Macaca fascicularis: one gene and its partners. The protein of the gene in region 1 purifies or fractionates together with the protein of each later gene. This does not show direct contact. Links are inferred from orthologs where the notes say so. Each region holds a gene or a part of one and is shown in the gene's direction. Other genes may lie near its edges.

What was found.
Region 2: the proteins of NEURL4 (region 1) and CEP290 purify together in Homo sapiens (affinity purification with mass spectrometry; 3 studies listed by BioGRID and IntAct, with this or other methods). This does not show direct contact. The link is inferred for Macaca fascicularis from reciprocal best matches to the Homo sapiens genes NEURL4 and CEP290.
Region 3: the proteins of NEURL4 (region 1) and CCP110 purify together in Homo sapiens (affinity purification with western blotting; 4 studies listed by BioGRID and IntAct, with this or other methods). This does not show direct contact. The link is inferred for Macaca fascicularis from reciprocal best matches to the Homo sapiens genes NEURL4 and CCP110.

Annotation. Positions count from the first base shown.
Region 1 is NC_088390.1:7,376,115-7,379,631, reverse strand, and holds part of NEURL4 (neuralized-like protein 4), read left to right. Parts: intron 1-14; coding exon 15-146; intron 147-880; coding exon 881-1,026; intron 1,027-1,103; coding exon 1,104-1,331; intron 1,332-1,431; coding exon 1,432-1,530; intron 1,531-1,618; coding exon 1,619-1,780; intron 1,781-1,968; coding exon 1,969-2,133; intron 2,134-3,369; coding exon 3,370-3,517. UniProt on the Homo sapiens protein: Promotes CCP110 ubiquitination and proteasome-dependent degradation. By counteracting accumulation of CP110, maintains normal centriolar homeostasis and preventing formation of ectopic microtubular organizing centers.
Region 2 is NC_088385.1:94,988,411-94,991,927, reverse strand, and holds part of CEP290 (centrosomal protein of 290 kDa), read left to right. Parts: intron 1-16; exon of another isoform or gene 17-54; coding exon of another isoform or gene 55-118; intron 119-1,610; coding exon 1,611-1,752; intron 1,753-2,918; coding exon 2,919-2,992; intron 2,993-3,517. UniProt on the Homo sapiens protein: Involved in early and late steps in cilia formation. Its association with CCP110 is required for inhibition of primary cilia formation by CCP110.
Region 3 is NC_088394.1:19,072,986-19,076,502, forward strand, and holds part of CCP110 (centriolar coiled-coil protein of 110 kDa), read left to right. Parts: intron 1-1,262; coding exon 1,263-1,418; intron 1,419-3,517.

The DNA of each region.
Region 1 (3,517 bases):
CCTCTCCTCCCCAGAGGTGTATGCAGTAGTCGATCTCTATGGCCAGTGTGTCCAAGTGTCCATCACCAATGCCACCGGCCCCATGGACAATAGCCTGGCGACCAGCAACACTGCCACCGAGAAGTCCTTCCCACTGCACTCCCCAGGTGCGGCAGCCGGGCGGGGGCTGGATGGGCTCTGCTTGCCTGCTGTGCGCCTGAGGAGTAGGGCTTCCAGGTTACAGCAGCTGTGCAAAGACGGTTGGCTGGGGTAGCTGCCGGCTCAAGGGAAGGGACAGCCCACGGTGGCAAGCAGCCAGTAAGGGGGAGGTTACACCTGGTACTTAGAGCCTGGACACTTCCCTGCCACCAAGGGGCCAGGACACCATCAACTGAGCATGCCAGGTTTGGAAATGAGTCTTGCTGTGGTGAAAAGAGGTATCAGGGCTGGGCGCAGTAGCTGATGCCTGTAATCCCAGCACTTTGGGAGATCAAGGCGGGTGGATCGCTCCAGCACAAGAGTTTGAAACCAGCCTGGGAAACACGGCGAAACCCAGTCTGTACCAAAAATACAAAATTTAAGCAGTTGTGGTGGCGTGCACCTGTGGTCCCAGCTACTTGGGAGGCTGAGGTGGGAGGATCGCTGAATCCCAGGAAGTTGAGGCTGCACTGAGCCGTGATTGTGCCACTGCACTCCAGCCTGAGTGACAGAGCGAGACCGTGCCTCAAAAAAAAAAAAAAAAAAATACAATAAAGAGGTGTCAGGAGGCCCTGAGGAGTAATGGCAGATGGCAGATGGGGCGTTGGTGTCCCCATCTCGTTTCATCTGAAAGCTTTGCTCTGTTCCATCTGAAGCTTGCTGCCCCAGTCCTACCCCTTCCTCTGGTGCCATCTTTTCACAGTGGCTGGCGTGGCTCACCGATTCCACAGTACTTGCGGCAAGAATGTCACTCTAGAGGAGGATGGCACGAGGGCGGTGCGTGCCGCTGGCTATGCTCATGGTCTTGTCTTCAGTACCAAGGAGCTGAGGGCTGAGGAAGTCTTTGAGGTAGGCCGTAGCGATGTGACAGAGGGGCTGCCAGGCCCATCGCCACAGGGCCAGCTCATCTTGTCTCTGTCTCATAGGTGAAAGTGGAAGAGCTAGATGAGAAGTGGGCAGGTTCCCTGCGGCTGGGACTGACCACACTAGCCCCGGGGGAGATGGGACCCGGAGCAGGTGGCAGTGGCCCAGGGCTGCCTCCTTCCCTGCCAGAGCTCCGGACGAAGACCACTTGGATGGTATCCAGCTGTGAAGTGAGGCGTGATGGGCAGCTCCAGAGGATGAACTATGGCCGGAACCTAGAGAGGCTGGGGGTGAAGTGGCTGGCTCCAGGGACAGGGGAGGGGTTGGGAGTGGCGGTGGCAGGGAGGGGTGGGCTGAGCATCATCTGTCCTTGTCCTGCCTTGGTCCTAGGTGGGGAGCCGTGTGGGTGTTCGTCGGGGGGCAGATGACACGATGCACATCCTGGTGGATGGAGAGGATATGGGGCCTGCAGCCACTGGCATTGCCAAGGTAGACCTGAATGCTTCCTTGGGTTTTGGGAGGATGGTTGAGGTCTTCCGCTGATCTCTGATTTGTCTGGGTCTTGTGTGCCTCCCAGAACGTGTGGGCTGTGTTGGATCTCTACGGGCCAGTCCGCAGTGTGTCGATTGTCAGTTCCACAAGGCTGGAGGAGTCAGAAGGCACCCAGCCTCCTTCCCCCAGTTCAGACACCGGCAGTGAGGGCGAGGAGGATGACGAGGGCGAGGAGCATGGCCTGGGAGTAAGAGGCTGCAGCATGGCCTGCTGTGCACGTGGATGGGCAGTTGCTGGGCCGTTGGATGCCAGGCCTTTTTTGGGTTCTCTGATCGTTGGGTGGAGGCTCACACTCAGGGTCTGTGCAAACTCCAGTGGGGTGGGTCGGTCCTGGCATTGGCAACCCATGCAGCTTAGTCTCTTCCTCCACACCAGGGCCAGAATGAAGTGGGTATTATACCCACCACCCTCGAGTTCCTGGAGAACCACGGGAAGAATATCCTCTTGTCTAATGGGAACCGTACAGCCACACGGGTGGCCAGCTACAATCAGGGCATCGTTGTCATCAACCAGCCTCTGGTGCCCCAGCTGCTGGTCCAGGTGGGCTCTCCCTCCCTGTCCCCAGCTCCTCTCGCTCCACAGTGACCCATGGCCAACCCTCCTGAAGAAAGGCCTTTTTGGGTGGAGAAAAAGAAAGCAAGCCACTTGGATGAGCTTTCTGGGCTTTTATTCATAGCCTGTAATGGGGTTTGTCAGTCAGTTACCACGAAGTCCCTACCTGGCGATCGGTGAGGGAAGCAGTAGGGACAGGCTGGAGGAGTCCAAGGGAAATGCCTGATCCTATATGTGGGAGCAGAGAGGGCTTTCCAGAAGAAGGTGCCTTTTTGCTACAAACTGAAAGATATATCAAAGTTAGCCAGATGAGCCCAGGTACAGTGGCTCATACCTGTAATCCCAGAACTTTTGGAGGCCAAAGCAGGCGGATCGCTTGAGTTCACGAGTTTGCGACCAGCCTGGGCAATATAGCGAAACTCTGTCTCTGCAAAAAAATACAAAAATTCGCCAGGCATGGTGGCACGAGCCTATAATCCCAGCTACTCAGGAGGCTGAGGTGGGAAGATCACTTGAACCTGGGAGGCAGAGGTTACAGTGAGCCGAGATCACGCCACCGCACTCTAGCCTGGGAGACAGGGCAAGATCTTGTCTCTAAAAAAAAAAAAAAAAAAAAAAAAGCTAGCTAGATGAAGGAAGTCCTACGAATAAGAATCCTGACAGATCGTTACAGAGGCAACAGCAAGGTCACGGCTCAAACAGGGTTTGGTTTTGTTTTGTTTTTGAGATGGAGTTGTGCTCTTGTTGCCCAGGCTAGAATGCAGTGGCACGACCTCGTCTCACTGCAACCTCCACCTTCCGGGTTCAAGCGATTCTCCTGCCTCAGCCTCCCGAGTAGCTGCGATTACAGGCATGTGCCACGACACCTGGCTAATTTTGTATTTTTAGTAGAGACAGGGTTTCGCCATGTTGCTCAGGCTGGTCTCAAACTCCTGACCTCAGGTGATCCACCCGCCTCAGCCTCCCAAAGTGCTGGGATTACAGGTGTGGGCCACCATGCCGGCTGATGGTTCTTTTTTTTATTATTATTAAAAAAAAAAAAAAGGGAAAGAAACAACTAAATTTGCATTTTCTGGTCCTTCCATGCATAAGAAAAGGCAGCATCCCAGGCCACATTCTGGGAGGTGCAGTATTCCCTCCCTGGCGGGGGGGTGGGGGGGGGTGGGTAGCGAGCCTGGTTCTTCCCAGGAGGCTGTGATTATGGAGTAGTTCCTTCTTCCCCAGGTGCGGATAGATTTCCTAAACCGACAGTGGACATCTTCCCTTGTCCTGGGAGTCATCACCTGCGCGCCTGAGAGGCTCAACTTCCCTGCTTCTGCCTGTGCCCTCAAACGGGCAGCCTGGCTGCTGCGGGGCCGTGGGGTCTTCCACA
Region 2 (3,517 bases), on another chromosome or scaffold:
AGGTCACTGAGCATACCATAAGCCTTCGGTAAACCATTTGCAGAAGACGTAAGTCTAAGTAGAAATCTCTTGACAGAGAGAGGCTCCTTTTGATCGTTGACCTCCAGGTTCCCTAAATCTGTTAAAAAAGAAAAAGAAAAAGGAAAAAAATTCACTAAAGTTTAAATCTGGGAGGATTATACACCTTTCTCAATAAAGCAGTTTAGAAAGATCTGTTTTGGGACCCATGACACAGATCTTGCTCATGCTGACATCCTTATAGTTGCATTATTATTCATTCAACAAACTTATTAACACATATTCTATGTCAGGCCTTTTCCTGACTGCTGGGACAAACCAGGGTGATGTGGGGGCAGTTTTACATAGGGTGATCAGAGAGGCCCTCTCTGCTTGGGTGGCTTTTGAACAGAAAATTAGATGAAGTGAAGGAGTAAGCTTCTGATATTTCACCATTTACTTGTGGTAGATCTGTGATAGTCTCTGTCGGGTTAAAAACATTCCCTTCTAATCTAAGTTTCTAGGATCTATCAAAAGCTGTTTGAATGTGTTTAGACAATCATTATTTTCCTTTCTTGTATTATCCTAGCAGATTTTGTTACCAAAGCTATACTGGCCATTTTAACTTAGAATGCAGTCTTTCTATCCATTTCTCTGGAAAAGTTTGGATATTGTAAGCATTATATTTCTTTAGGTATGATGAACCAGTAGAACTGTTTGGCTCAATTATGAAATTTTTTTCTGGAGTCTGTATTTTTTTGAACTGTTGTTTCTTTAATGATTATAAATCTATTCAGATTTTTACAAGCTTTATCCCTCTCCCATCAGATACTATTTTTCTCACCCATGCTTTTGCACAATTTTTTCCTCTCCCTGTAGTGTTTTTCTGTATACCTCCTATGTATGTCTGTATATGTGAGAAAAGCTTTTTATTTGCCATCTTTATATTTCTAAGAATATCTAGTAATATAGAATTTTATATTCCGAAGAATTTTACTTTGTATTTTCTTATTTTGTGATTGAAAAAAGGTATTAATTTTAAAATGGTCAAATCAGGCTCCATCCTTATTTATAATCTTGGAAAATACCCAAATTCTTTATTTTGAATGGGCCATCTGTTAATTAGGGATACCTTATCTCTTGCCACCACCATTTTAATGGTAAATAAATATGTAGCGAAAACCTTGACTAGACAAAACAGTAAAATAAGATATTCTTTTTTTTTTTTTTTTTTTTTGAGACGGAGTCTCGCTCTGTCGCCCAGGCTGGAGTGTAGTGGCGCGATCTCGGCTCACTGCAAGCTCTGCCTCCCGGGTTCACGCCATTCTCCTGCCTCAGCCTCCCGAGTAGCTGGGACTACAGGCGCCCACAACCGCGCCCGGCTAATTTTTTGTATTTTTAGTAGAGACGGGGTTTCACCGTGGTCTCGATCTCCTGACCTTGTGATCCGCCCGCCTCGGCCTCCCAAAGTGCTGGGATTACAGGCGTGAGCCACCGCGCCCGGCTAAAATAAGATATTCTTGCTTATTTCTAGTACGGTAATTTGAACTGACTTTTAAATCAGTGACATAAATTATTTGCCATGTCTATACTTTTTTTCCTTATACTTTTAGAATGTATGAAACCAAGTTAAAAGAATTGGAAACTGATATTGCCAAAAAAAATCAAAGCATTACTGACCTTAAACAGCTTGTAAAAGAAGCAACAGAGAGAGAACAAAAAGTTAAGAAATACACTGAAGACCTTGAAGAACAGGTAAGTAATGTAATTTTTCTTTACATGATAAAATAATGCATAATATCACAGGATGTTCCTTGCATTGTCTTCTATAGATAAAAATGGACTCGATTAAGAAGACCCATCTAACTGAAGGGCACCCCATTCACCTATTTGCTTAAGCCAGAAACTTTGGATCATCAATGACTTCATTCTTTTCATTCTCCACATCTTTTTTTTTAATCGTTAAATCATGTCAGCTCTATTTTCAAACTATATCCCAAATCTGACCACTTCTTGGCATCTTGAGACATCACTACCAGTCTTGTCCAGGCTATTGTTTTATACCTGAATAACTACAATAATTTCCAAACTGGTATCTCAGCTTCCACTCTTGCATTATTTCACTCTATTTCTATTTCTGGTCTGTCTCCACACAGTTGCCAGGTAACCCTTTTAAAACATAAAGCACATCACAAAGCACAAAGTCCTATCCTCAGAATCTTCCAGTGGTTCTCCATCACCCTAAAATAAAACTTCAAAGTACTTTTCGTATCCCAAAACAATATATGAGGTCTGGTACCCAGTTTTCTTCCCAATCTCATCTTCTACCACTTTTCCCTTCATTTCATTCACAATGTTTTAACCACATTAACCTTCTTTCAGTACTTTAAACAATTCAAACTCGTTTAAGCGTTAAGTCCTTACACTTGTTTCCTTTGTTTAGAATACTGTTCACCCAAATATTCTCATAGCTTCCTCCCAGACTTCATGTCTCTGCTGAAATAGAGGCTCCTCAGAGAGACCTTCCTCACCCTAACCCTAACCCTAACCCTATACTACTTGCCATCACTCTTGATCCTCTTACCCTGGATTATTTTTTCTTGATAGCTCTTCCTACCATCTGGCACTATTATTATATCATATCATATTACATACACATTCTTTGTTTCCACACTAAATGAGGACCATGCAAGATGGAACATTACCTATTTTGTTCACTGCTGTAGCCTCTGTGCCTAGGACAATGCCAGTTATGCAGTAGTTACTCAATACTTGTTGAAAGAATGGTGAATAGAACATAGAAATTTGCCTATGCATGCTTTTGAAAACCAGATTTTAATATTATGCTTTATTAAAAATGTGTATCTTTATAAATCCTCGTATTTCCAAAGTTATCTTCTAACTTTTCATTGTCCCCAAAGATTAAGATTCTTAAACATGTTCCTGAAGGTGCTGAGACAGAGCAAGGCCTCAAACAGGAGCTTCAAGTTCTTAGGTGCGTCATGTGTTCATATGACTACTTTGTTTCTTTCTTTTAAAAAAAAATTATTAGTTTTTATAATCTCAGAATTGCTACAACTAGAGACAAACATTTTTCAACTTTACTGCCTAACAGGCTTATTAGGTCCTTATTTCTTCCTTCTAATGCTAATCACTCTTTTTTTCATAATACACACTGGAAAAAAGGATAAACCCAACTGTAATATAAGTTTCCAGTTTGTAATTTAGTTTAAACTTTTCTAAGAGCATAGAATGGATTAATCCTTAGCTTCCCAGGGGAAAATACTAATGAAAGAGAACAAGTAATTTTTTACTTTCAGGAGTCTCTGTAGCCCACTTTCATTAGGCTCCTCATAACAAAACCACTCTTGGAAATGACCTCAGGTCAGATATTAAGAAAAATGTGAAGGCTTTTGTATTCCAGGCTTTTTGAGAATGGTGACATTGTAGCATTGAGAGTAAATGTTTACTTTGATAAAGACTAGTTTGTTCTGATTACTGTGCATCACTAGTTCATAAG
Region 3 (3,517 bases), on another chromosome or scaffold:
CTGGTTATGATTCTGATAATGTCTTTTTATTTTCCCTTATTTATTTAAAGGAAACAGTGCCACACATAATGCTGTGCAAATAAGCAATCAATATTTAATGTTTGCTAAATGAATGAATATGATGCCTAATCCCTGCTGGTTACCTTGTATTTTCATAATCACAATTTCCCAGAAACTGTGAAATTACTGGGATTGTTTTAAGTAGTTTGGTGATGGTTCCAATTTTCAACAATAAAATATAATTAATATCAGAGCCAATCGATTTTCTGTTTTTTACCTCTGACTGAGTTGACTGGTGCCCATGGAGTCCAAGTATAGTGTTAAGATAGGCAAATTGAGGCAGGAGGATTGCTTGAGTCTGGGAGTTTGAGACTATAGTGCACTGTGATCGAACCTGTGAATAGTCACTGGAATCCAATTTGGGCAACATAGTGAGACCCTATCTCTTTAAAAAAAAAAAAAAGTAACCTTTGAACTTCAAAGTAGAAAATTTTTAAAAGTAAATATTCTTTGATTTAAGTAGGCTTTTTTACTACAGTGTTTCTACCTTTGTATGATATAGTTTTTCTTGTGTAGATAAGTCCTGTTAAAGAAAATATAATATCCTATTTTACAATCTGAAGTTAGTAAAGGTGTACAGAACTTAGTTTTCTTTAAGAAGGTTATGAATTCTTAGCTAAATTAATCCCATTTAAAGATTGATTTACATGCAATAATATTCAGAAATATTTAATATATCAAGGACATCTTAATTGGACATGTTCTTGAGGTGAATTACCATACACAAGAATTAGCTCCTGATTAGTAAGACAATTCTTTTTTTTTTTTTTTTTTTTTTTTTTTTTTTTGAGATGGAGTCTCGCTCTGTCGCCCAGGCTGAAGTGCAGTGGCCGGATCTCAGCTCACTGCAAGCTCCGCCTGCCGGGTTCGGGCCATTCTCCTGTCTCAGCCTCCTGAGTAGCTGGGACTACAGGCGCCCGCCACCTCGCCCGGCTAGTTTTTTGTATTTTTTAGTACAGACGGGGTTTCACCGTGTTAGCCAGGATGGTCTCGATCTCCTGACCTAGTGATCCACCTGTCTTGGCCTCCCAATGTGCTGGGATTACAGGCTTGAGCCACCGCGCCCAGCCTTAGTAAGACAATTCTGGGAGGACCAGTTATAGGAATTGTGAATTATAGGGACTCTCTCATGCTCTGCAAAATCTGCCAAATAAGATCTGTTTTTCCCAATACATTAAAAATAACATTTTTCTCTCTTGTAGTGTGACTGTGGGAAGATGGAGGAGTATGAGAAGTTCTGTGAAAAAAGTCTTGCCAGAATACAAGAAGCATCACTATCCACAGAGAGCTTTCTCCCTACTCAGTCTGAAAGTATCTCACTTATTCGCTTTCATGGAGTGGCTATCCTTTCTCCACTGGTAAACTTGCTTTGTTTTTAAATAGTTTTTTTCTGTAGTGAACAACTAAAACAGTTCATGGAAAAACAAAAGAAAGGCTTATAAACATTCGAAGAGCTGCCCTTATTTAGAATTAGAGAAATGCAAATGAATTAGCATTTTTTACTTACTATTATAGATTGACAAAGAGCTAATAGAACCTTGTGTTCCTTAGACTGTGGAGAAAATGCACTTTTAATGCACTTTTGCTAAGAGAATCAGTTTATTTTATTTCTAGATGAGAGTTTGGTAGAATTTAAAAGCATACATAGCCTTTGAGTCAGCAGTTCCATTTTGGGGTGTATCCTACAATTATACGTGAGCCTAAAGAAGTAAGTACAGAGTTACATTAGCATTGTTTAAAATAGCAAAGGTTGACGAACAACCTAAATGTCCATCAGTAGTGGAGTAGTTTAACTGTGGTCCATTTTATAAAATCTCTTACTTACCATTACAGTAAGGCAGATGTAAATGTTGAGGCATGGAAGGATCTTGATGATCTAGTGTAAAACACTGTGTGCAGCATGCTGTCAGGGGCAGTATAGAGTCACGATTAGAGGTCCAGGCTGTGGACCAGGCACGGTGGCTCACATCTATAGTCCCAGTTATTTGAGAGGCTGGAAGGGAAAGGATTGCTTGTGACCAGGAATTCAAGACTAGCCTGGTTAACATAGTGAAACCTCATCTCTACAAAAACATTTTAAAAAATTAGGCAGGCGTGGTGACATGTGCCTGTAGTCCCAGCTACTCGAAGGCTAAGGTGGAAGGATTCCTTGAACCTAGGAGTTCCAGGCTACAGGGAGCCAGGATTGCGCTGTTGCCTGGGCTACAGAGCAAGACCCTGTCCCAAGAGAAGGAAAAAATCTCCAGCCTGGGCTACAGAGCAAGACCCTGTCCCAAAAGAAGGAAAAAAAGAAAAACAAAAGCCTAGGCTCTGGAGCCTTCTGGCCTGGTCCAAATCATTGCTTTGCTACTTACTTGCTGTGTAAACTTGTGGCCCATTTTCTTATTTGTTAAATGGGGATAAAATAGTGCCTATCTCATAAGGCTATTTTGAAGATTAAATGAATGCATAGTTATAAAATGGTTAGAATACCACCTGGATCATAAGAGGTACCCAATATAAGTTAACCATTTGGGTTTTTTAAAGGATGGCTATTCCTTTTCTGGGGAGTGGTGAGAGAATATAGGATAATAGGGAAGACACTTCATCATATACCGTTTGATACTAATTGGATATTTTAAAATGTATATGACTTTATTTTAAATCACAAACTAATATTAGAAAAAAGTGAGCTTTAAATTTATGTTTTGGTATAACAGGAGTTAAGAGATTAATTTTAATTAATTTAATTGAATTTTTTTTTTTTTTTTTTTTTTTTTGAGACGGAGTCTTGCTCTGTCACCCAGGCTGGAGTGCAGTGGCCGGATCTCAGCTCACTGCAAGCTCCGCCTCCCGGGTTCACGCCATTCTCCTGCCTCAGCCTCCCAAGTAGCTGGGACTACAGGCGCCCGCCACCTCGCCCGGCTAGTTTTTTGTATTTTTTAGTAGAGACGGGGTTTCACCGTGTTAGCCAGGACGGTCTCGATCTCCTGACCTCGTGATCCGCCCGTCTCGGCCTCCCAAAGTGCTGGGATTACAGGCTTGAGCCACCGCGCCCGGCCAATTTAATTGAATTTTTAAAGACACCAGAGCTAACTGCCAACTTTTTGTAATGAAACTTTCAAATATACAGCAAAATTGAAAGGATAGTGCAGTGACCTACCGTAGATTTACCATTAGATTAAACAATATTTAACATTTTTGTCATCTTTGCTTTATTGTGTTTGTGATTTTTATATACATGTATGTGTGTGTGTACATACATACGTTTTAAAAAATTGCCTAGCTATTTGAAAACCACAAAGACCTAACACTGCTTCCCTAAATATTTTGGTATACATCTCTTAAAAATAAGGACATTCTCATATATAAAGCCCCAATACCATTATCACATCTTAAGAAAATTAATAATTTTTAATAATGTCTAATAATTCTGTTCATATTTAAATTTTTCCATTTGTGCTCAAAATGCCTTTTA